Linked DNA regions of Canis lupus familiaris. The protein of the gene in region 4 purifies or fractionates together with the protein of the main gene of each other region. This does not show direct contact. Links are inferred from orthologs where the notes say so. Each region holds a gene or a part of one and is shown on either strand. Other genes may lie near its edges.

Region 1 (4,427 bases), on a different chromosome or scaffold from region 4:
TAAAAATATATTATTAGCATCTTGAAAGGCTCTAAAAAGCTGTAGAGTAAAATACCCATCCTAGCTTGGACTCCACTTTTCTCAGTCATTTGACCAGAAGCCCCTTTTCATGGAACACGATGGATAGAATCTACTTTCCATGGAGCAGCCGTTAAGGGCATGCCTCTGAGGTAGGTTCCCTAAGTCACGGCCAGCCCAGCCAGGTACTGACTGTGTAACCTGGGGGGAGTTTCCTCCCAGGATACTAATTTCCATATAGCTCCGTTTCCTCCTCTATAAGAAGGTCTTTAATACCATTACCTACTTTATAGGGATGTATGGCATTAAATAAGTTTATCCATATAGTGTGCTTAGAAAAATGCCCAATACATGATACGCCCACAGTAAATGTTAGTTGGCATTAACAGCGTCATCCTAATAAGTATTTACATTATTCTTTTTCATTTATAGGCTTCCTGGCTAGTAATATGGAATGCATCATAGATCATTTTCGCAGTCTGCCCATAATTTTTGTAGTGCTATATGGATTCCAGGAAAGCTATTAATAAGGTTTATTGTTTCATAATCAACAAGTTCTTTCTCTTACTAGTTACTGACCGTTATAAGGTATCCATTCATTCAACCTGTATTTATTAAACACTGAATGCCAGACACTCATCTAGGACCCAGGGCTGTGCAGTGACCATGGCCCATAGCCCAGGACCCTGCTCTGCAAGTGTGCCCTCCAGTAGAGCAAGGCAGGCAATAAACAAGTGAACTAGCAAGTCATCCGAGACTCTGGTGACTCTTCATAGCTATGAAGAAGATAAGGGCTACGGCACAGTGTGATGTAGGGGAGCCTGTTTGAGATCGGAAAGTCAGGGTAGGCCTCTTTGAATAGGTGAGATTGAGCATAGACCTGAAAGTAGAAACTAGTATAGCCAAAGGAGGACCCCTGAGGCAGATGCCAAGGGCAGAGGCCTTGGTTCCTGAGACAAGTTGCTTCCATCTGGTGGCTATTTAAAGACTTGTACTTTCATAGTTAACTTATTTAAGATATTACTTATATATACTACATAGAGTGTGTGTGTGTTTGTGTGTGTGTGTGTATTTAGCAACACTTTGCACTGGTGTGAAACAACCAGCTTCCTGGACTTGTTCAACAGTCAGCCTTCGTCACACACCTGTTAAGTGCGGCGTCAGTATGTGGGGCAGGTGTGTGCATTCTTTCCTTCAGCACCTACTGGCTGCATTCTCCTCCCTTCCCCTACTCCCTGCAGGTGGTGACACTGGTTCCTTCTAATAAGTGCCCCACTGGAGGTGTGTTGGGATGGCCGCTGGTTAGCAACTCTGCTCTTTGGCAGAGGGCACAGGACACGTGTGCAGGGGTCACATGTGACTCCCTCTGTTGTCAGAAAAGAATCTTGTGTCAGCAAAGTATATGATTGCTAATTATTTGTTTAGATCTAAGTTGGAACCAGAACCACATACAAAGACAAGAGAATCCACGTCTTCTGAGAAAGTTTCACAGACCCCTTCACAAGAGTCTGAAGAAAAACCTGTCACTGAAGAATGTCCAGGTATGAACTGAAATAAAAATCTTGCCTTCCATCTCTTGCTTATGATGTATTGGCAAAAATACAAAGCAGAAAAAGGAACACAGTCCTAGACATCTTATGTTTGCACTTTCATAAAGCAAAGGAAACACAGAAGGGGAAACCTTTTTTCTACCCCAGTTGGAACTGTTGGGACAGAGCAAGAGGATTCCTCCAGTCACCCAAGAACAGCAGAGTCCAGGGAGAGGGCCTGAGTTGCTGTGTACCACTAGGGTGGGGGCTGGGGACTCAGAACCAGGAGCAGTGTAAGAGCTTTGTGCTCAGGGAATTTTGCCTGCTGGTCTCAGGAAAGGTAGGGCACTGCCTCCCCTGCCTCCACATGGTGCCCTATCCCGTGATCTCAGCATCCTGTTAGCACCAACCTGTGTTCCACCCTGTGTGGCCTGCACATGCTTACTTTGCTGTGTCTCAGGTGTAACAGGCATAAGATTTTGCTTTGCGTAAATCCCAGGATGACAGCATGCTGAGGCCTCAGGGGCCGGGTGTCTTCCTCAGTCCCCTTGTCCATGTTACCACAATGGCTGTCATTTACTGTGCATCTCCCAGATGCCAGGCACTGCCTTGAATCTTTACAGACACCACCACCACCATCCTTAGAGCAGCCCTTTGGGATGGGTTTTGTGGTCCTGTTTTTGATGAGCCTTCTGAAAGGCTTTGAGAGGCTGGGAAACTTAAAAACTCATGAATTGCAGACTCGGATTTATATGCGGATCTGTACTGCCTCTCCATCTGATTCAGAACACAGTGTAGGAATGAGCACCTGAAAGATGCCAGGGGCCCTCTCCATGGTTGGGAACAGTGTCAGTGGGGAGAGGTGGGGAGACCAGGCTCAAGCGAGCCCTGCAGTGTGCTGGGCTCATGCAGGGGCTTCAGCAGCAGATTGGGTCTCATTGGGTCTTTTGAGGTGGTGCTATCGTCATTTTACATGTGAGGAAATTGAGCTTGGAAGAGATTATATAACCTGTTCAAAATCAAAACCAAGAAAGGGGCAGTACTTTTTTGGGGCCTGAGCCTATCTTTTCTGCTGGCTACTTTGACCCCATGGGCCAGAGGACTGGCACAGACATCACTCATGACCTAAGGGAGCCCAGCTTTTCATAAGATAACACATAGGGATATCCTGTCTCCCTCATTTACTCCCAAACTTACTCATGGCAGACACAGCATATTCGTCCACTCACTCATTCCAGAAATACTGTTAGGGCTGATGATAATGGAGAGAAGCCAGTACAGATTTTTCAAGGCCCAGCTGAGGGTAGATCCCCTGTGAAGAACTCTCTCCCCTTGCTGAGCCCTGAGCCCATACTGAGTGTTGCTGTGCTAGGCATTGTGCTAGGTGCTAGCGACAGTAGTGAGTAGAAAATAAGACCCCTCGGCTCATAGTCCAGCAGATGCTAATAGAATAATCACACAGATGTATACAATCATTGTATGTGCCATACAATAGAGGGTCCTGGTTGTAGGAGAGATTTGGCCTGTCAGAGAGGTTGGAGAGCTTGGTGTTTCAGTAGAGACCCAAGGGCAGTGAGGAGTGAACCCTATGTCTCTCTGGGGGAAGAGTCAGAGTCAGAGGAAACCAGAAGTGCAGAGGCCCCAAGAAGAGAGCCTGCCTGGCCTGGTGGATGAGCAGCATGGAGGCTAGGGAGCAAGGGGAGAGGGCAGAGGGATACCAAGTAAGGAAACACCAAGGTACCAGGATGCTTGAGGACTGTGGCTTTTATTCTGAAGGATGTGGGAAGCCATGGGGGGGTTTGCACAGAGCACTTCACAGCCAGCTGTGTTTGAGCAGAGCCCCTTTGGTTGCTCTCTTGGAGAAGAGAAGTAGAGACAAGAGGCTGCTCAAGTCACCCAGAAACAAGATAATGGTGGAGCATGACATGCCTGGTAGCAAGGCAGTGGAGGGAGAGTGCTGGAATTCTGGTTACATTTTAAAGTAGAGCCACAGCATTTGCTTCCTGTATACGGGACAGGCAGGAGGGAAGGGCCGGGGAAGGCTGTGGTGGTTTTGACAAGGGAGAAGTTTGCTGTCCTTCACTGTGGTGCAGGAGATTGGTTTGACCAGGGACCCAGTGCCAGGCATATTAATTTTGAGGTGCCTCGTAGAGATGTTGAGCAGGGAATGGGGTTTACAAGTCTGGAGATCAGGGGGCAGGTCTGTAGGCAGCATCAATCCCCTGAGACAGGCTGGGGTCCCTCCCCCTTTCCCTTTCCCCGAGTGAGGAATGAGGGTGAATAAAGGGAGGATGAAGGCCTGAGGCTCCCAGTTACTTTCTGTCTTCCCTGCTTTTTCCTTCTTCCTGGCACGTGCCACTACCCTTCTGTTTGTTTTACTAGGGTCTGTCCTTTGTGATCTGTCTCCCCTACTAAAATGGAGGTCCCGTGAGGACAGGAATTTCTGTGTTTTGTTCACTGCTGTAACACTGACACCCAGACAATGCTTGACACATAGGAGGTGCTCAGTAAATCACTGAAAACAGTGAAAGAGGAAGGAGGAGAGGAGGGAGGCAGGGAGGTGACCTGGAACATTGCCTTCACTTGCCGTGGAAGTGTTTCCTGATATAAAAGGAACCTAATGCCTCTGGGCAATAGGATATATGCCACCAGAGTGAAAGAACCCTTTTCCTCACAGTTTAAATTTTCTATTTTAAAGTCAGTGTTTGCTGTTTTATAATCATGAGTTTATCTCCTGACGAAGCCAGCCCACCAGATATTGAAAGCGAACTCTCCAGTTCAGCTCCTAATTCCTGTATAGGAGACAGGACGGTATGAAGAGAGTCTCTTTTGAGGCCATCATGATCCCAACTCTAGCACCACCTGGCACCTGTGAGCACC
Region 2 (3,878 bases), on a different chromosome or scaffold from region 4:
TAGGGCGCAGTCCTGGAGTCCCGGGATCGAGTCCCATGTCAGGCTCCCGGCACGGAGCCTGCTTCTCCCTCTGCCTGTGTCTCTGCCTCTCTCTCTCTATGTCTATCATAAATAAATAAAAATAAAAATTAAAAAAAAAAGAACCCTCCCTAGTTGGTGATTACGGTAGGTAAGGAGAACCTAAGACTCCAGGTGTCCTCTGCCCCAAATCCTGGCTGAGTCTCCAGGCCCAGAGACAGGGAAAGGGTGGGGAGAGGGTGCTGAGCACCCAGCACTCACTTTCATCAGCGTGCACTCCCGGGAACCAGAGAATGCGGGGAACAGCTCCTCATACTTCTGCACAGCGAGCTGGACATCACGAGGGTGGAAAAGAAGAAGGAAGGAAGGAAGGGGACAAGCTAATGAAGACGGGCCACTGGAGCCACTGGCCTGACAGCCAAGGGGATCTGAGACACCTGGCCCCAGGCAGTGCTCTGCGCCCCTCTCCCTCCCCCTCCCCCAGTGTCACCTGGCTCTGTGCCTGGAGGGTACTTCCCTGGGGCTGTACTTGGCCAAACCTGGCTGCAGAGACAGCTTGTGTGGAGGAAGTGTGGGGAGGGGCTCCTAGGCCAGTGCCCAGGGCAGGGCACAAATGACAGCTGCCTCCTACGAATACATCCTACAGGGCAGGGCTGGTGCTGGGTACTTCTTACATTTAACCATCATGTGGACCCAGGGAAGGTGGAATGAGTGACCCCCATTCTGAAAGATTTGCTCAGGGCACAGGGTATATGGGGGCAGGGATGCGAACCAGCCTGAGGCCGAGCCTGAGCGAGCTCTTACACGCAGCCAGTGGGAGCAGGGGTGGTGGTGGGGCTCAGACACTCCATGTGGCGGAGGGCACGGTGGCTGGAGACCCCAGGAAATGTGGAACCCTGGAAGACTCCAGCTCCCTGCCCCCAGCAGTTCCCCACCCCCTCGCCCACCACTCACCCCTGTCTTGCCAAACAGCCCTCAAAAGGGGTGGTGTGGACACGCAAACTATGGTTCAAATCATGACACTGGGAGTCAGAAAGATCTGGAATCCAGCCATGTGACCTTGAATAAGGGTCCCTGTGTCTTAGCCTCAGTGTCATCATCTGTACAACAGGTGACAGTGGTGTTGACCTCGAGGGATGCAGCAAAAACTCAAAGTGTGCTCTCCCTCACTGGCACCAAGTAAGTGAGAAGCTGGATAAACTCAAAAGCTACAGACACTGGGCAGGTGACACCTGGGACAGGAGCACATCGGCGAGAACAAGCATTTCCTGCCCACAGCTGACAGGCAGGTGCTGGACATGAGGGAGGGCTCACCCCTATTAAGGGATCTAGTGATAAACATGGTGCACCACGGTGGTCACTGGGAGGTGGGGGACGCTCTGGGTGGTCCGACTGGGCCCCAGCTCACCTTGGCATTGAGCATGTCAATGCAGAAGTGACAGAGGGCCGCCTTGAAGAAGTAGTCCTTGGCGCTGTACTTGAGGAGGGGGCTGTCCATGGCATTGGTCCCCACCTGTGGAGGTGCGGTGGTGGCACTATAAGCTTGGGCAGGCAGCCAGAGAGCCAGGGTCACTGAGAGGCACCGGGGGGCCGGCTGGGAGCCTCATCTGTGTCCCGGATGAAGCCCCATCAACCCGGGACCCGAAGGGCAGGGAGGCCAAGGGCCAGCCCCAGGAAGTCAGCCGGTGGTGTGTGGGTAGCCAAAGACCAGGGTATGGCAGGGGGCGAGTGCTGTCACAGGGCCAAAGCCCGGTGTCGGTGGGCTCCCCCCACCCCCTGAGATGGTGGGGAGGAGGCGGCCCCGCTGTCAGGCCCTACAGGAGGCTGGCACGTCGGTGGGCAGAGGGGCGGCAGGCTGCGGGAACATGAGAGGTGGCACCCGCCCCCTACTCCTCCGGGGCCAGCTGCCTGCCTTTCTCTTGGCCAAGCTGAACCCACCAGGACCGCCCAGCCTTCCCCACACAGCCCAGGGGAGCCTGCGCCCCCACGTGATGCTCCCTCCCTGTCACTCCCATGGTGTGTGAAGGACGAGCTTTCTGACCCCTCCCTGTGGGCTCCTCAGCTCCCTCTGGCTACCCCAGGCCTTAAGGATTCTCTTCCCACTCCCTCTGGGCCCCCAGGCCCCCCCAGGAAGCTTTCTGTGAGAAGCATACAGGGAGAGGGTGGGGACTCCCTGTGGGGTTGTGGGTGGTGAACTGTTTAGCCAGTGAGGACAAGGGGAGTGCCAGGATGGTGATGGAGGGGAGGGGAGAGGTGGCCAGGGGGAGGGAGGGAGCACTGTGCAGATGATGGGACATCAGGAAAGGGCAAATGGGGTGCAGGGCCCTCCCCCAGAGCCCTGGCTGTCCCCACCTGCTCATAAATGTCAATGGCCTTCTGATACTGCTCCAGCTGTGCGGCATAGCCAGCCACCTTCAGCAGGCACTTATTGGCTGAGCTGTAAGGGTGGGCGGAGGAGACAGAGGTCAGTGGTGGCTGGCCTGGGGGCTAAGGGGTGGGGTGGGGTGGGTATAGGGAAGGGGGAAGGGTGCCCACAGCCGGTACCTGTTGGACTCCTCTCCTTTGTAGTAGTCTGCAGACTGCTCATAGTGGGCGATGGCCTGGGGAGACACGGGGAGAGGCAGGGCGTGAGGAGGTGGCAATGTGACCTTGATCCACCATAGGGCCGGCCCTGCCTGGGCCACAGCAGGAGCCCTCTACCCAAGTTCTGTCGGTGCGCCACACCCCCTTTCTGGTACTCAGACACCAGAGGATGCCTCAGGTGGAGAGAGCAGACAGACAAGCCCCAGTCTGAGGAGACAGGCTGCTGCAGTCCTCCCCCACTGTCAGCCAGGCAGGGCCACCGACTGCCACTCACCTTCTCGATGTCCACCAGCTCCGTCTCATAGATCTCAGCAATGGAGATGTGGTGCTTGGCCGCGATCGTGAACCGGCCCTGGGTGGGACACAGGAAGGGGTCCTTTTTGATGGAGTAATGTTCCCAGCGTCCCACTTGCCCCTCCTTGTTCTTCTGGGCCCCCAAAACCAGTGGGTTCCTGCACCTCAGTCACACAAATGAGGCATGTACAAGAGGGTACCGGGAGACTGAGGGGCACAGGCCTCCAATGGGAGGCTTCACTGAGCCCTGATGGGGTGACCTTGTCACACCCCTCCACATTCAGCCTCCGGGTTTCTCCTGTCCACAGGGATACAGGTTGACGAGGCAATGCCAGAGGTAATGGGGCCCAGGTACCAGGCAGAGGGCCTGGCCTGGGGACAGATGGCCCAGAGAGGGGGAAAGACCAGCCTAGAATCACCTGTAAACACTCTGGAGAAACCAGGCTGACAGCCCAGGCATCCCTACTGCGGAGGGGACAGCCTTCCTAAGCCTCCCCTTGCCCCCAATGTGGCCATGGAGGCCGCCCCACTGACAGGCCAACCCCCAGCTTCCCCCATTGACACGATGGCTCTCCCCAAGGAAGCCTCTAGCTCTCTAGCTTCCAGAGGGGCTGAGCCCCCCAGCCTCCACCCGGTGGGCGTCCAGGCGCCAGGCTGCCCACTCGGCACGCAGGGCTGCTCCACAGCCCCTGCCCCTGCCGAGGGACATCAGGAAAGGGCAAAGCTCTGAGCTCAGCAAGGCCTAGTTCTGGGTCTCAGCAACTTCTGCTTGTGGGCATGTGTCCCTGGGCAAGTCACATCACTCATCTGGGCCCCCCTTTTCTGTCACATGGAGGACGGCCCCCACCCCGCAGGGCTATCGAAGGGGAGGATTAAACCACTCAGCTGACAATGTCGGGTTCAACAGATGGTAGTGGCTATCACTGTGCTCACTACAATATTTCAGTATTGCCCGGGGTCTGTCAGGGGGCGGGACTGTGTTC
Region 3 (4,427 bases), on a different chromosome or scaffold from region 4:
AATAAAATTAAAAAATGTTAGTGTATCTTCCATCTTTCCATACTACTTGATCTTTCCTATTTTTTCTAATTTCTCTATTTACTCTTTAATCTTTAAAGCAAATTTTTGAATGCTCAATTTATATTGAATATTTTACTCCAATATAGTGGAAGAGCAAATGGCTTCATTTTAAAGTTATGATTGTCAAAAAAAAATAAAGTTATGATTGTCAATAAACATTTACTAAATGAAGTTAAATATAAAATGACCTGGGGGATCAAATAAGTATAAAAACTACTTGGAGAAACAAGGCAGAAAGAAAATATACATTTTAGTAAAAAAGAAACAGAGCTGGACTAGCATGTTGGAGTAAATCATTTTTCTCCACCCCATAACACTATACAATGATTACTTCTTATTTTTGGTGTAATCTCAATGTTGTAAAAAAGATTTGCCTTTGGTACTTAATATATGGCCCATAGCAATCATATACTTCATATTAACAAAAAGACTTGAGGTACTTACGGAAAACATTGATACAATGTTATTTGTCATCAATGGATATCTGTATGAACTTACCACTGCTACCATTTCCGCTGCTGTTCCTCTTGAACATCTGATTATAGGAACAGCACCTATTTTAACATTAGATGTTAGCAATGATTTTTAGCTTTCAATAACGGAAAAGAATGAAAAGAGCTTAATTTAGAAGCAAACTTCTAAAGGTAGTACTATTCTTGATTTTACAAATTAACAATGAAGGAATATAGTCTTGTTAAAAAAATAACTTAAAAGATAAAACATATCTTCCATTAATATGAAAGGTTCTAAAAGGTGGCCTCAGCTCATTACTGAATCAGCTCATTAGACCTCTTAATTTCTCTTTGTTTATTACTCCAAGTTTTATCAAAGGCTGAAATCCTAAAATGATAGAAAAAAATCCAATTGCATTGAATATCTCAGAAAACAAACTGAGAATACTGTAATCTTAACATGCTGAAACTGCTGCATTTTAGATTCTAAACAAAACGTTCAGTCAACTGCAAAAAATTGTAGAATATTAGCAAGTTTTATAAAACTGCTTTCTTCCAATGGCAAGTTATACATGCTTGTCATAAAAACTCTAAATAATGTTAGAAATGTATAAAGTTAACCCTTTGGTTCCAGCACCCTAAAATAAAATAATCCCCCTTGAGAATTAGATATGGATATTTTCAGATTATTTTTTACATGTAGTTTTAAATAAATGTATTTGTGAAGAGTACAAAAAATAGGATAAATTTTGTTCTTAAATTTGCCTTTTTCACTTAATCTCTGGTTGACATCCTTCTATGTCAGATGGGCAGTAATTTCAATTACTCTTGAAAAAATCACTTTCTGATATTCTATAAGAAAGCTTGCTTTAACACTTCCATGGTCTTTTATACTTATCTTTTTCAATCTACCTTTACCTTGAAAATATAACTATCGTTAAGAAAAAATAACCTTAATGTTCACAAAAACCCTTGCATTCAGTGAAATCTTGGAGAATATGTAGGATGGCAAAATAGAAAGGTTAATTATGTCAGTTTAATGACTAAAAATTGCATATACATGTGCTTTGTTTAAAACAACAGCAATAACAACCCCACTTGAAGGTACTAAAAATATTTGAAAGTGCAGAAAGTGCAGGAGGGTAAAATTTTGAAAGAAAAGATATATTTAAAAATTAAGATACATTTTTAACTAGCTTTTCTCTTGAGAGTACTTTCTAGTTTGCAAGGCACAGAAAAGAAAGAGCTCAAGCAGAAAACAGAAGAATCCAAGCCTGGCATTCAGGGCAGGATTTTTTAAAGGAGAAAATCACAAGGGAGGCCCAAACCTTGCATGCAAATTCTCTTCAAACTTCTGACTGTGGGGCAGCCCAAGTGGCTCAGCAGTTTAGCGCCACCTTGGGCCCAGGGCATGATCCTGGAGACCCAGGATTGAGTCCTACGTTGGCCTTCCTGCATGAAGCCTGCTTCTCCCTCTGCCTTTGTCTCTGCCTCTCTCTTTCTCTCTCTCTGTGTCTCTCATGAATGAATAAATTTAAAAAAAAATCTTAAAAAAAAAAAAAAAACTTCTGACTGTATCCTAAACTATTCATGGTATCTCCCTTCTCAATTTTCTCATTTGTGAAATAAAGAGAAACTTTAAAAATTTAGTGTAAGGATCACTTTAAATGGGGTTTTCAGTGTCTGCAAAATTAAAATTGCAATTAGAAGGTTTCTAAAGAGATCTACTAGTAAGAAACCATAAAAATCACACAATAGATACTGAACACAAAGTAGCTCTAAGTAAATTTAGATGTACCAAAAAAAGGTTTAAAATTCTGAGTACAGTGGATTAATAGTATACTAAATTTAGTGTTTTCTGGAACCTTGGGAGTGTGCCTTAACAGTTATATTTATCTCTATACTTAAAAGTGTATTTGAAATTCTTCCTAATAGAATATTAAACATTTTGAGAAATAACCAGAAAGATTTGAGGACCTACCCAGTGTAACAAAAAAGCAGAAGAGGCTGTCAACAATAGTGTCCATAACAGTTTCCATCTCTGTGTCTGTGATATCTGGTCTGTTAATGGCTAAAATAACATAAAGAGAAAAAACTTACCAAACTCTACGTCTTGATAACATTTGTAATACTCAAAAAGTAAAATTTTTTATGTTACACCTTTAAGTGAATAAATATCCATTAAAAATTATACCTCAAAAAAACTGCACAGCATTTCAGTATCTGTAGTACTGAACAGTATCAAAATCATAGTAGTGCTAAGAAAACAAATCTGCCATAAAAAGTATACAAAATTTTTGCCAGAGCAAGTAAAAAATATCATATTCCATACTTTCATTCACAAACACTAGATGGCCTCAAGAAACTACTGAACTTCTTACCCAAGTACTGCCAGAAAGGACAATGCCAATCAATTATTATAAGACCAGTGTCCCATATCATTTTTCTTGTATTGTAGTTAAGTTATATGAATTTCTTTTCTGATTACTATACTGTACCTAAGTGAGTTCCAAACTTCAGTGGGTATAAGAATCACTTTAGAAATATGAAAGAGAAAGTTTGTCCAGAATAAAAATTCAAGATTCTTAGCCTTTTCCTCTCAGGGATTCAATTCAATAGATCTGGATAATTCTAAGAAATCTGCAATTCTGATTAGCACCACAGATGACTCTTAGAGCTACATTAACAAAAACAAAAACACTGCTGTGAAGACTATACTTGACAAAGATATTGCTTTACTCCTCTCTCAGCTCTTACAATACTTATGCTTAGTATTTGACGAGTAGATGCTCAATAAACATTTGTTAAAAGATCAGACTAAAATATCTATATTTTTAATTTCCCAACACTCTGAATTTGGAAACAAACAAACAAAATTCAATATAACTTGTGATTATTATGAGAGGAAAACAGATTCCAGCCGTATATATCAAAGTGTTTAAAGAAAGTATGGGCCATCCAGAGAGCATAAAATAATAAGGAATTCAACCAGGCAATACAGAATCTGGATGAGGGAGGGTGCTGCTACTTGATGTTGCAGATTCAAATCAGAAGACAGAAATGGCTAAAAGATACAATGTGAATCATGTAAATTCAAGGGACACCAAACAAGGGAAATACTCAGCTCATTTTGTTAATCAATGGTACAGGTAAAATCCAAATGGAAGCCTTTAGCCCTTAGGTCCCTCCTACACCCTGGTCTCACACCTCTAAATCAGAACTAACCCAAAGGGTCAAAAAATTGTCCATCAATAACCTCAACTCACTTATGTTAACAACTTGGTTTGAGATAGTAGCCTGACTTTGGGAAGATAAAATCTGCTTCCTTTAAAAGGATAAATAAATTTCCAATCCATGAAAAGTAGGTGATATAAATAAAACCCACAATAATAACATGTTTGGGCTAATCTGCTTAAGATTATCAGTTAAAATACTTGTGATATTTGAGAGGATTTGGCACATAATTACATAATGGTTAAGAGCACTGTGTCTGAAGTGGGTTTAGTAATCCGGTTCTACCATTTCCTTATCAAGTTACTCAGTATCTAGTTCCTTGGTTACTTCATCTGGAAAACGTAAATAGTAATAGTAATACCATCTACTTCACAAAGTTACCTATGAGTAAATGAACTTACACTGTAAAGTGCTTATAGAACAATTTATAATTATTATAAATAGACTATTGAGAATCTGGGCAATTAACCATACAACTATACTTTAAAATTAATAAATTTATACTTTAAATTTAATAATTAATTTCAGATCTGTGATTCTTCAAGAAGTATAAAAAATTAATTATATAAGTACTGAATGTAATGAATTTAGACTCACTATAAATTTATTCTTAAATATTTAAATTTTTGGGCAGATTTTGTTTATTAGATTTATAAATTTGCCTGGTCTCATATTTAAAGT
Region 4 (5,055 bases):
ATGTACAAACTTTTATATTAACGCCCTGCATCTCCCTTATAACCCGGACATGAGTCTTCAGAGCAAAGCCTGCACAGCTGCCACACGTCAGAGGCCCAGACCTGCACGAGGACGGCTTGGGGCCCAGGGTCTGAGGGCCAGGACCTTGCCCAAGGGATCTGGACACTTGGGGCACAGGACTGCCCCCAAGTCTTTCTCAGACTCATCCTCTGCCCGGCTGGCAGCCACCTGGCTGGCATGCCTTGGAAGGAGTATTGGGGCCCCTCTGGGGTTCAAGGCTGGTGGCTGGAGTCAGGACACAAGGTGGTAGGCAGCCTCCACCTGCAGCACCACAGACCTCACATCCGAGGGACACTTGAATGTGGCCATCACTCTTCTGTCCACCATGCCCTGGACTCAGGAGGCTGGAGGAGGCTGCCCTCGGCACACTGCCCACTCCATGTGGCAAACAGGAGCCGCGACTCAGGACCACTCACAGGCAGGGAGGGCAAGGTTGTACATTCCTACTGGACAACAGTGACAGCCTGGGGCTCTCCGGAGTTGGGCTTCCCCTCTCTTAGGCTTGGCTCACTCCCCAGACACATGGCCACAGGTCTGGGATGAGAGGTGGGTGCCCCGGGTGCCCCGCAAGCCGTGCAAAATAAAAAGTGCCTGAAAGGTATTTGTGTGCAGTTCCTCTCAGACTGGTTCAGAGTCAGTTGGGGGAGGAGGGGCTGGCAGGTGGGGGTGGTCCACCCTGTGGCTTCAGCCAAGACAGATGCAGGGCAAGGGGCTATGTCCCTTGTCGGGGAGGACCTGCCTTGACACCCCCCGCCCCCAGCAAACACTGCTGTTGGAATTTCACATTACTCCTCACTCTGGAGTGGTGTGCTTGCTGGAGGTGCTTATTTATTAATCTGGAAATGGGGCCGGGGGGTGGGGGGACTGCCTCCTGTTGCCATGTTTTAGCACCCACCCTACCCCTACTTAAGACTTAAATGTCAGCTAAAAGGGTCATCTCATTATGAAGAGATCAGTTCCCAGTGGGCCCACCAGAGCCAGAAGGTACACACCCCATCCCCACCCCCACCATCCCCTCTCAGACCAGCTCCCAGTCTGCAGTAAGATGGGCAGCTGTGGGAACTTGCTGGCAGGTGGGGCCCATGGGGCTGGCGGGGGGTGGACAGTGAAGAACCCTAGTCCATGTGACACACGAGAAAGAGCTGGGAGGCTTGTCCGAGGCCACACATTTGGGATGGGGCAGGGCTGGGATTCAGAGCCTGCCCAGGCTGCCTCTAGTGCCCTATTTCATTCACCCTGGGTTTAGTCTCCTACATAGTATTTTGCGAAGACACCAAGCCCACTGGTGTGACCAGGACACAGGTGACGTCAGGGGTGGAAGATGGATGAGTGCTGCTTGCCAGCCAAGCTCCAGTACCTCTGACGTTCCAACCCCTACCCTGCCCTCCGCAGGCCAAGGGGTGCAGGGAGGTCACAGGATGGGCCTTGACTGCCTGAGGACCCAGGTGGGGTTCTCTCCATGAGGGTCTGACTGTCCCACCTCTCACCCCGAGAGCTAATGTCCCCCCTTGAGGCAGGCTTTGTCACACTGTACCTTTCCCAAAGAAGGAACCGGGCCCAGAAAATAAACTTCCTCAGGGCCTCTGCGGTGGGGGGGATGGAGTCGGTGTCAGGGCCGGAAGCTCATAACCGTAAACTCTGGATGGGCCCCTAAGCCTCGGATTCCTGCATCCCAGGCCGTACCCAGGCAAGAACCGGGTAGGGCTGCCGGGGTACGGGAGAGCTCGGCGTGGGAAGAACCGAGCTGGAGACGGCGTGAGCGACGAATGGACCGGGTCCGTTTAACCCCTCCGGACGGGTTAAGACGCTTGAGAGGGGAAAACGCCATCTAGTCTCGAGTAGATACGGACAGTACAGCGCCTCTCCCTAAAACAACACATTAGTCCCCCCCCGCCCCCAAAAAACACATTAGTTCCGCCCCCAAGACGCAACAGCGAACGAGTGGCGGACGCGCCCGGAAGAGGCCCAAAGAGGGCACTTCCGCCCTTCTCCAAGATGGCGCCGGCGGAAGGGGCAGGGTACGGCCGGGAGATGATGGCAGCGTCGAGGCTGGAGCTGAACCTAGTGCGGTTGCTGTGCCGCTGCGAGGCGATGGCAGCGGAGAAGCGGGACCCGGAAGAGTGGCGTCTGGAGAAGGTGAGGGAAATCTGCACTGTCAAGTGGAGCTTGACTTCCGGGGGGTGGCCTCCGCGGTAGCGGACACCGGGCCCCGCTCCCCCGTCCCAACAACCGCTCTGGCCACGCCCCTTCCGGTCGGTCCGCCACGTCCACCTGCAGCGCCCGCCCCATTCCCTAGGGTTCATCTGGCCCCGCCCCCTCGGCGCGTGTCTCCTCCCCCTTTAGGCCCCGCCCCATCCTGGCCCCGCCCCTTGTTGGCCCTGACAGCACTCCCTTTGGGCAGGAGAGGGAGGAGTGGAAGGGTATGGGGGACCAGGCTGACACCCCCACTTTCCCTTCCCAGTACGTGGGAGCCCTTGAGGACATGCTGCAGGCCCTGAAAGCCCAAGCAAGGTGAGTGCAGGTGGCTACAGGGGCTTCAAATCTGGGATGGGAATCAGGGCCAGGGCCAGCTCCTGTCAGGGAATCCCTGGGCTCCAGCCCCTGCTGAGATCCTTCCCGGAACTAGAGACAGTGGACAGGTTTTCTTTTTCCTCTTCTCACCTTCCAGCAAACCAGCCTCTGAGGTGATCAATGAATATTCCCGCAAGGTGGATTTCCTGAAGGGGATGCTGCAGGCAGAGAAGCTGGTGAGCAGGGGTGCTCTACTTCCTCAGCCCTCATCACACTCCCTGCCGTGGACCTGCCCCTCCGGTGACCCCTCTTCCCCCTTCTGCAGACCTCTGCCTCAGAGAAGGCACTAGCCAACCAGTTCCTGGCCCCTGGCCGCGTACCAACCACAGCCAGGGAGCGGGTGCCTGCCACGAAGACGGTGCATCTGCAGTCACGGGCACGATACACTAGCGAAATGAGGAATGAGCTGCTAGGCACGGTAGGGCTGCCTTCCTCCCTGGTCCCTGGTCCCTGGTCCCTGGTCCCTGGTCCCTCTGGTCAGGGATAGTTTAGTGCCTGGGTGTGGCCAGAACAACAAATGCTGGCAGGCATAGGGACACTAGGGAGCCCAACAGCCTCTGCCCTGGGCCATCAAGAAAGGCCGAGCCAGGACTTTGCTAGATGGATAGGAGTTTGGTCCGAGGCAAAAATGGTGCCTGTCTAGTTGGCACCCCAGAGTTGGCCCAGAGCATCAGATGAGTTTGCCAGTTACATGACTTTATCTCATCTTGCCACAAATAGACAAGTTTTTCCATCTGCAAAATAGGACGGCAAGTGTCTTTTTGAGCCTTTTATGTGGATCAGCTAAACCCTTCAAAATATGAAGAAACTGAGATCCTGAGGTCATGGGACTTGCCGGCGGGGGGTTGTGGGGGCAGAGTCTGAGAGCAGAAAGGATAGTTTGGGGTGCAGGACAAGGCAGGTGACTTCATGGCTCTCCCTTTTTCCCATAGGATTCTGCTGGAGGTGAGTCACCCTGAGTAAAACAGGACTTGAGGCTTAATTGTCACGCTGCCTCACATCCTGCGCCTGGCTCCCCTGGGGTCTCCCACAGCCCAGGGAGTGTAGCCCCAGGGGTGTCACCTAGCTGTGCCTGATGGGGATGCCAGGACAGAGGAGCTGGCCCCCAGAGGGAAGAAAGCTGGATACCCCCAGGCCGCAGGGCCAAGGGTAAGCCAACAGAGGGGGCCTGGGGCCTGGGAGAGCCCAAATAGAAGTGAGGAAAACTGCTTAGAAGAGAGGACTTTTGAGCTAGAGCTTTGAAGCATGATCAGGAGCTCGCTGGGAAGCAGATAAGACAGGAAACGACATGATGAGTAGCAGACACATCACAAGCAACCATCAGGAAGCTGGGAAACAGGAAACCAATCTTCTCCTTCTTCCTGCTTGGCCTTTTTTGCTTCCAGAGCCCAAGCTGGATGTGAGGAAGAGAATGTGAGTGTCTTCAGCCCTTGGGGGGAGCACGGGGATGGGAAGGGTGGAGGGTGGAGGGTGGGGCGGGATGAACCTGGGACCACTGAGGCACCAAACCATGAAGGCCCCCGCAAGCATCTAAATCACCGATCAGAAGCCACTTCTGGGGATGCTCTTCCAAAAAGCCAAAGTGAAGAAGGGGAAACGGAACCCTACGCAGGGCAGGGGCTGGAGCCATAACCTCTGGGCTCCCTGGGAATGTGTTGGTCTCTTCCCACTCCTCCACCCTGTCTCCTGCCCACCCGTCCACCTCTGTGTGAGGTCAGCGGGGTGGCAGGGCCCAGATCAGGGGATGAGAAACAGTCAGCAGCCGAGCTAGACGTCGTCCTGCAGCGGCATCAGGACCTCCAGGAGAAGCTGGCGGAGGAGATGCTGGGCCTGGCAAGGAGCCTCAAGAGCAACACGCTGGCCGCCCAGAGCGTCATTAAGAAGGACAACCAGGTGTGAGGGCCGGGGGAACTTCCTAGCCTCTGCCCGGGGACACCAGAGATGGCTCCCCAGCAGAGGGGCCTCGTGGCCAGGGCTCTCAGATGATAGAAGTTTGACAGAAGGCAGACGTGGACCCCCCAGCAGAGAACATAGTACTAGCAAGGGCCAAGAGGAGCAGACTTGCCCCCAGGCGGCAGGGAGAGGCCACACTTGGCCACAGTCCCGTTGACCTCCCCACCTCGCCCACAGACCCTGTCACACTCCCTCAAGATGGCTGACCAGAACCTGGAGAAGCTGAAGACCGAATCGGAGCGGCTGGAGCAGCACACACAGAAGTCGGTCAACTGGCTGCTCTGGGCCATGCTTATTATCGTCTGCTTCATCTTCATCAGCATGATCCTCTTCATTCGCATCATGCCCAAACTCAAATAAAGACCTGTGCTGGCCCAGCTTGTCTAGCCTCTGTCTTCCCTCCACCCGTGTCCAGGGCTGCCCTTTGGGCTGGACAACAATACGGAGGCTCTTTGCAGGTTCCTGAGAGCC
Region 5 (4,427 bases), on a different chromosome or scaffold from region 4:
AGAAGCAAGTTTTGCTTCAGGAAGTGGAGAATCACAAAAAGCAGATGCTCAGGTAGGTGGGGCCTGCGCTGGGTCACCTGCTCCCTGGGCGGCTTGTATAAAGGTTTGCCTAACAAACCTGGCTTAATGATTTAATTGTGTCATTTCTACACAAACTGAATGTCCTCTCTAGATCAGTAGTTCTCAAAGCAGGGACAAGCAGGGGTTGTTGGTAGGTCAAATTGTATATAGTTTACAAAAGCGTATTTACCATTATACTATATTTTATATTTTTAGGACAAAACCAAAAAATGATTGCTTTTGTAATACAACATCTTTTTCTGTAAGGAAATTGCTACTAGAAAAAGTTCCTACTTAAGATGGACCAAAATTTAGAAAGCTTTGAGTGGGACTTTATCTTAAAAAATGAAACAAAAAATGTAAATAAGATTATGCTATGTTAAACAAAGCGGTGGTTATCATTGTAGCAGTGGGCTAACCTTTGGTTATATAATTGAAGTATGCACTATTTCTGGATATTGGGGGGGGCTTTTCCAACAAAATTATCTGATGGCATGAAACAGCACCTGTCCCTTCACATGTGACTTGTATCATAATCATAAAGAGTGTTGTTGTGACAAAAATATTTAAGGCTCAAAAAAAAAAAAATTTAACGGCTCCATCAACTTTCCCCATCGTCTGGTAGCCAGGTCATTCTCTTTTGAAGCCCCTGTTAGTCATCATCCTCCTAGGTGTTGCTCTTTCTCCTTATTAATTTGCTCTAACTCTGTTGGATCTGTATGTCTCTCGTTTTGCCTTCAATGTGAGTAATTCTCCAGCATCATCCTTGGCAGGCAGCTACTGTGTTTATGACCCCCAGCCCTTAGGAGGAGACTGACAAACATGTGGGCATGGTAGAGGCTAGTATAAGTAGGGAGGGATGTGTGCATGGTCACCAGTGTTAAAGTGCTTGGCTCAGTCGGAGTACTTTGTGTCATGATGGCGTTTGCTTCCCTCAGCCACCAAGGATACTCACATTACAAACACTGAGTAAAGAGGACCCCTTGTATAAAGTAGAGTAAGTTACACCAGATAAAATGGGCTTAGTTAGCATGGCTAGGAGTTGAGAATGGCCATTCATGATGTAGGGTTACAGGGGAGAGAGAAAGCAGTAGATGAATACTTTGGCAGTTGTGTGTGAAAACAGTAGTTGCGCCTGCCTGGATTCTCGTGCTTATCACACCATTCAGCAAATATTTGTTTGTCTTTCTCCCCAGTAAATGTGAGCCCCTTGAGGGCAGCCACTATGGCTCATTCATCTCTGTGTCACAGGGCCCAGCAGAACTTCCTTGCTAACAATTAAAATATGTAATTGATTCTTTTAAAATATCAGGTGTGAAATGGCATAGCAGATGCTGTTCTGGTGACAGAGAGCTCGTTTTACATTTTAAGCACAGAGGTACTCTTAGAAAAATACCGTATCAGTTCACGTTTGACTTTGGTAAACATCTCAGGGGTTAGCACAATTGATGTGAACCAGCTGCCTAAGAGTTCTAGTGCTTGAGTTTGATTCTCCTAGGGGCCCAATTAACATTTTTATAGTTCATTGACAAAGGCTGCACTGCTAACCCCAGGGAGCTGTTCATCAAATTTGAGTTATCTCTCATGAGGGAGATCAGGTAAAGAATGTAAATAAATCACATCAAACTGCTAATACAGTGTGTTTATCTCGCTCATGATTGGTCTGAGTATGTAAAGAACAGCAAATCTTAAAGAAATATGGAGCAAAACCAAAGTGTTAAGTTACTATATTGTACACCTGAAAGTAATATTACACTCACTGTATGTTAACTAACTGGAATTTGTTTTTTGTTTTTTTTTTTAGATTTTAATTTATTTATTCATGAGAGAGACAGAGAGAGAGAGAGAGAGAGGCAGAGACATAGGCAGAGGGAGAAGCAGGCTCCACGCAGGAGCCTGATGTGGGACTCGGTCCCAGCACTCCAGGATCACGCCCTGACCCAAAGGCAGATGCTTTAACCGCTGAGCCACTCAGGAGTCCCACTAACTGGAATTTAAATGAAAACTTAGGGGCACCTGGATGGCTCAGTAGGCTGAACATCCAACCCTTGATTTTGGCTCAGGTCATGAGCTCAGGGTCCCGAGATCCAGCCCTGTGTTAGGCTCTGTGCTGAGCATGGAGCCTGCTTGAGATTTTTTCTCTCTCTCCCTGTGCCCCTCCCCATGCTCTTGCTCTCTCTCTCCTAAATAAATAAATAAATAAATAAATAAATAAATAAATAAATAAATAAATAAATAAATAAATAAAATTTTTTTAAATAAAAACTTAAATATTGAGGAAAACTGCCTTCCTATGATTTTTCTACTTCTCATAATATCTATTGATTGGCTAATGGGCCAGAGACTGTTGTTCTAGGTATTAGTGATCCAAAAATGAGTGAGATATGGTCCTCAAGAAATGGAACCAACTAGTACACAAGGTAGAACATGGTAAAATGGTAAAATGTTAGTGGTAACTGGACAGAACAGGGCCTCAAGTGCCCAAGGTGAGTTTGAAGTCTGAAGCCCTTGCCCGGCTGTAAGCACAGAAGTAAGTACTGTGGCCAGACTGCTCCCTCTGGCTGCCCTGGAGGGAAAGGGACAGCTACAGGCGGCTGGGCAGGGTGAGACCAGAGGTGTAGCCTAAGCTGGAGCAGTTGCCGGGGCAACCAAGAGGAGGAAATGGTGGGAGGCAGAGATGGATGACTCTGTAGGCCACTCTGGGAGGCCTTTCCCATCACTCCCTTGCCAGAAGGAAGAACTTCTGTTCTTTGATCTGACAGAAACTCATGCAAGACCCTTCTGATTCCAGCAATCAGACCTCATGGAGGAAGGCTAATCTCACTTGCAAAATTGCTATCGACAATCTAGAGAAAGCAGAACTTCTCCAGGGAGGAGACCTCTTAAGGCAAAGGTATCTGTCTTTTTGTCTTTCTGGGCCCTAATGATAGAACAGATAGCAATTGGCAAGGTGCAAAACCTGTGTAGGGAAGCCCTTCTTGTTTTCAGTGTAAAACTGGTAATTAATTTTATTATATAGGTAATATTTTTTAAAGTATGAAAGAAATACTGGCTTATTTGTAATAAATTGGTAAAATAAAGGTGTCGATGACAAAATGAACTATACTGTGATTGTGTTGTACACATTTTGATATATATTGTGTCCTCCCACCATTTTTTTTTTTTTACAGAGTCCTACCGTATATAAAACTTAGCGCCCTGCTCTTCTTCACATAGTATTATAGCACAAAGACTTGCTTGTTTTAGAAAACTCTTTAAACAAAGGTTCAAGAGTACTTAGTATTCCCTTGTATTGGCTGATCCCCCGTTTGTGTGTGTTTGCATTTCTAGTTTGTCAGTATTGTAAATAATACACAAGGGCACACCTTAGGACATAAGGCCTTGTCCACATTTTGGGTATTTCCTTTGTAGAGATTCCCAGGGATGACATTATTGGGCCAAAGGCATGAATGTTTCTAAGGCTCCTAATACTATTTCCAGATTGCCAGTTTGCATTTCTACTAGCAGTCTTTAGGAGTGTGGTGTCAGCATACCCTTGCTGGCATTGACTGTGATTATTGATACTTAAATATATATGCTATTTTGATAGATTAAAAAAATGGGATCGCATTTGAAGACGGGCGTTGTCTTATAGCCAGCTTTTGTTGACATGCCTATCCCACTCTGGACTTTTAGGAAAACCACCAAAGAGAGCCTGGCCCAGACATCCAGTGCCATCACGGAGAGCCTCATGGGGATCAGCAGAATGATGTCCCAGCAGGTCCAGCAGAGCGAGGAAGCCATGCAGACGCTAGGTAAAGCCAGATCAGGAGTTAGAAACTTCTCCCAGAGACTTCAGTTCCAGAGTCCTTGTCCTGGCACCTGCCACCATGCTCTCCCACCTTTGTCCCCATCCCCACCCTCATCCCCAAGCTTACTGACTTGTGTGGCTTCTCACTTCTTCAACACTGTGGTATTGCCCGGGGTGGGATATGTTGCTCTTACTTCTCTTTTTGGTTTTTATAGTTGTACTACAAGATCTGCACACCCCCGTCAAAATGTTTCCCCAGCAGAAGCATTCCCAAGGTCTCATGTGAAAAGCCGAGATCCCCAGGCCTTCTGGAGAGTAGGTGCTAGCAGGACTCGGGGAAGGGCCTGGGCATCTGTTTTTTTTCCTCTGGAGTTCTGTGGACCCATGTGGCCAGGCAGGTTGGGGAATCATTGCTTGGGAAGATGTTTTAGTGTATCGGCTGCTGGCTAGTCTGCAAGGGCCTCAGCTTATAATTAATACTCCCCAGTGTTATTTTTGCTGTAAGCTCCTTTTAAAAGATGCAATCAGAGGCCACAAAAGAAGGTGCTTGAGCATCTGGTTCTCTCCAGCAGCTTTC

Evidence for each region.
Region 1: the proteins of USE1 (region 4) and STX18 purify together in Homo sapiens (co-immunoprecipitation; 4 studies listed by BioGRID and IntAct, counting the BioPlex papers as one, with this or other methods). This does not show direct contact. The link is inferred for Canis lupus familiaris from reciprocal best matches to the Homo sapiens genes USE1 and STX18.
Region 2: the proteins of USE1 (region 4) and NAPA purify together in Homo sapiens (affinity purification with mass spectrometry; 3 studies listed by BioGRID and IntAct, counting the BioPlex papers as one, with this or other methods). This does not show direct contact. The link is inferred for Canis lupus familiaris from reciprocal best matches to the Homo sapiens genes USE1 and NAPA.
Region 3: the proteins of USE1 (region 4) and SCFD1 purify together in Homo sapiens (affinity purification with mass spectrometry; 3 studies listed by BioGRID and IntAct, counting the BioPlex papers as one, with this or other methods). This does not show direct contact. The link is inferred for Canis lupus familiaris from reciprocal best matches to the Homo sapiens genes USE1 and SCFD1.
Region 5: the proteins of USE1 (region 4) and BNIP1 purify together in Homo sapiens (co-immunoprecipitation; 4 studies listed by BioGRID and IntAct, counting the BioPlex papers as one, with this or other methods). This does not show direct contact. The link is inferred for Canis lupus familiaris from reciprocal best matches to the Homo sapiens genes USE1 and BNIP1.

The regions. Positions count from the first base shown.
Region 1 is NC_049224.1:70,427,102-70,431,528, reverse strand, and holds part of STX18 (syntaxin-18), read left to right. Parts: intron 1-1,443; coding exon 1,444-1,559; intron 1,560-4,427. UniProt on the Homo sapiens protein: Syntaxin that may be involved in targeting and fusion of Golgi-derived retrograde transport vesicles with the ER.
Region 2 is NC_049222.1:109,233,836-109,237,713, reverse strand, and holds part of NAPA (alpha-soluble NSF attachment protein), read right to left. Parts: intron 2,954-3,878; coding exon 2,876-2,953; intron 2,619-2,875; coding exon 2,563-2,618; intron 2,456-2,562; coding exon 2,371-2,455; intron 1,532-2,370; coding exon 1,427-1,531; intron 349-1,426; coding exon 280-348; intron 1-279. UniProt on the Homo sapiens protein: Required for vesicular transport between the endoplasmic reticulum and the Golgi apparatus. Together with GNA12 promotes CDH5 localization to plasma membrane.
Region 3 is NC_049229.1:10,127,791-10,132,217, reverse strand, and holds part of SCFD1 (sec1 family domain-containing protein 1), read right to left. Parts: intron 2,584-4,427; coding exon 2,494-2,583; intron 615-2,493; coding exon 559-614; intron 1-558. UniProt on the Homo sapiens protein: Plays a role in SNARE-pin assembly and Golgi-to-ER retrograde transport via its interaction with COG4. Involved in vesicular transport between the endoplasmic reticulum and the Golgi.
Region 4 is NC_049241.1:45,916,314-45,921,368, reverse strand, and holds USE1 (vesicle transport protein USE1), read left to right. Parts: upstream 1-2,024; 5' UTR 2,025-2,055; coding exon 2,056-2,196; intron 2,197-2,521; coding exon 2,522-2,571; intron 2,572-2,728; coding exon 2,729-2,807; intron 2,808-2,896; coding exon 2,897-3,049; intron 3,050-3,310; exon of another isoform or gene 3,311-3,563; coding exon 3,564-3,576; exon of another isoform or gene 3,577-4,016; coding exon 4,017-4,044; exon of another isoform or gene 4,045-4,349; coding exon 4,350-4,524; exon of another isoform or gene 4,525-4,761; coding exon 4,762-4,944; 3' UTR 4,945-4,961; downstream 4,962-5,055.
Region 5 is NC_049225.1:40,179,444-40,183,870, reverse strand, and holds part of BNIP1 (vesicle transport protein SEC20), read left to right. Parts: coding exon 1-52; intron 53-2,851; coding exon 2,852-2,953; intron 2,954-3,735; coding exon 3,736-3,854; intron 3,855-4,065; coding exon of another isoform or gene 4,066-4,136; exon of another isoform or gene 4,137-4,165; intron 4,166-4,427. UniProt on the Homo sapiens protein: As part of a SNARE complex may be involved in endoplasmic reticulum membranes fusion and be required for the maintenance of endoplasmic reticulum organization. Also plays a role in apoptosis.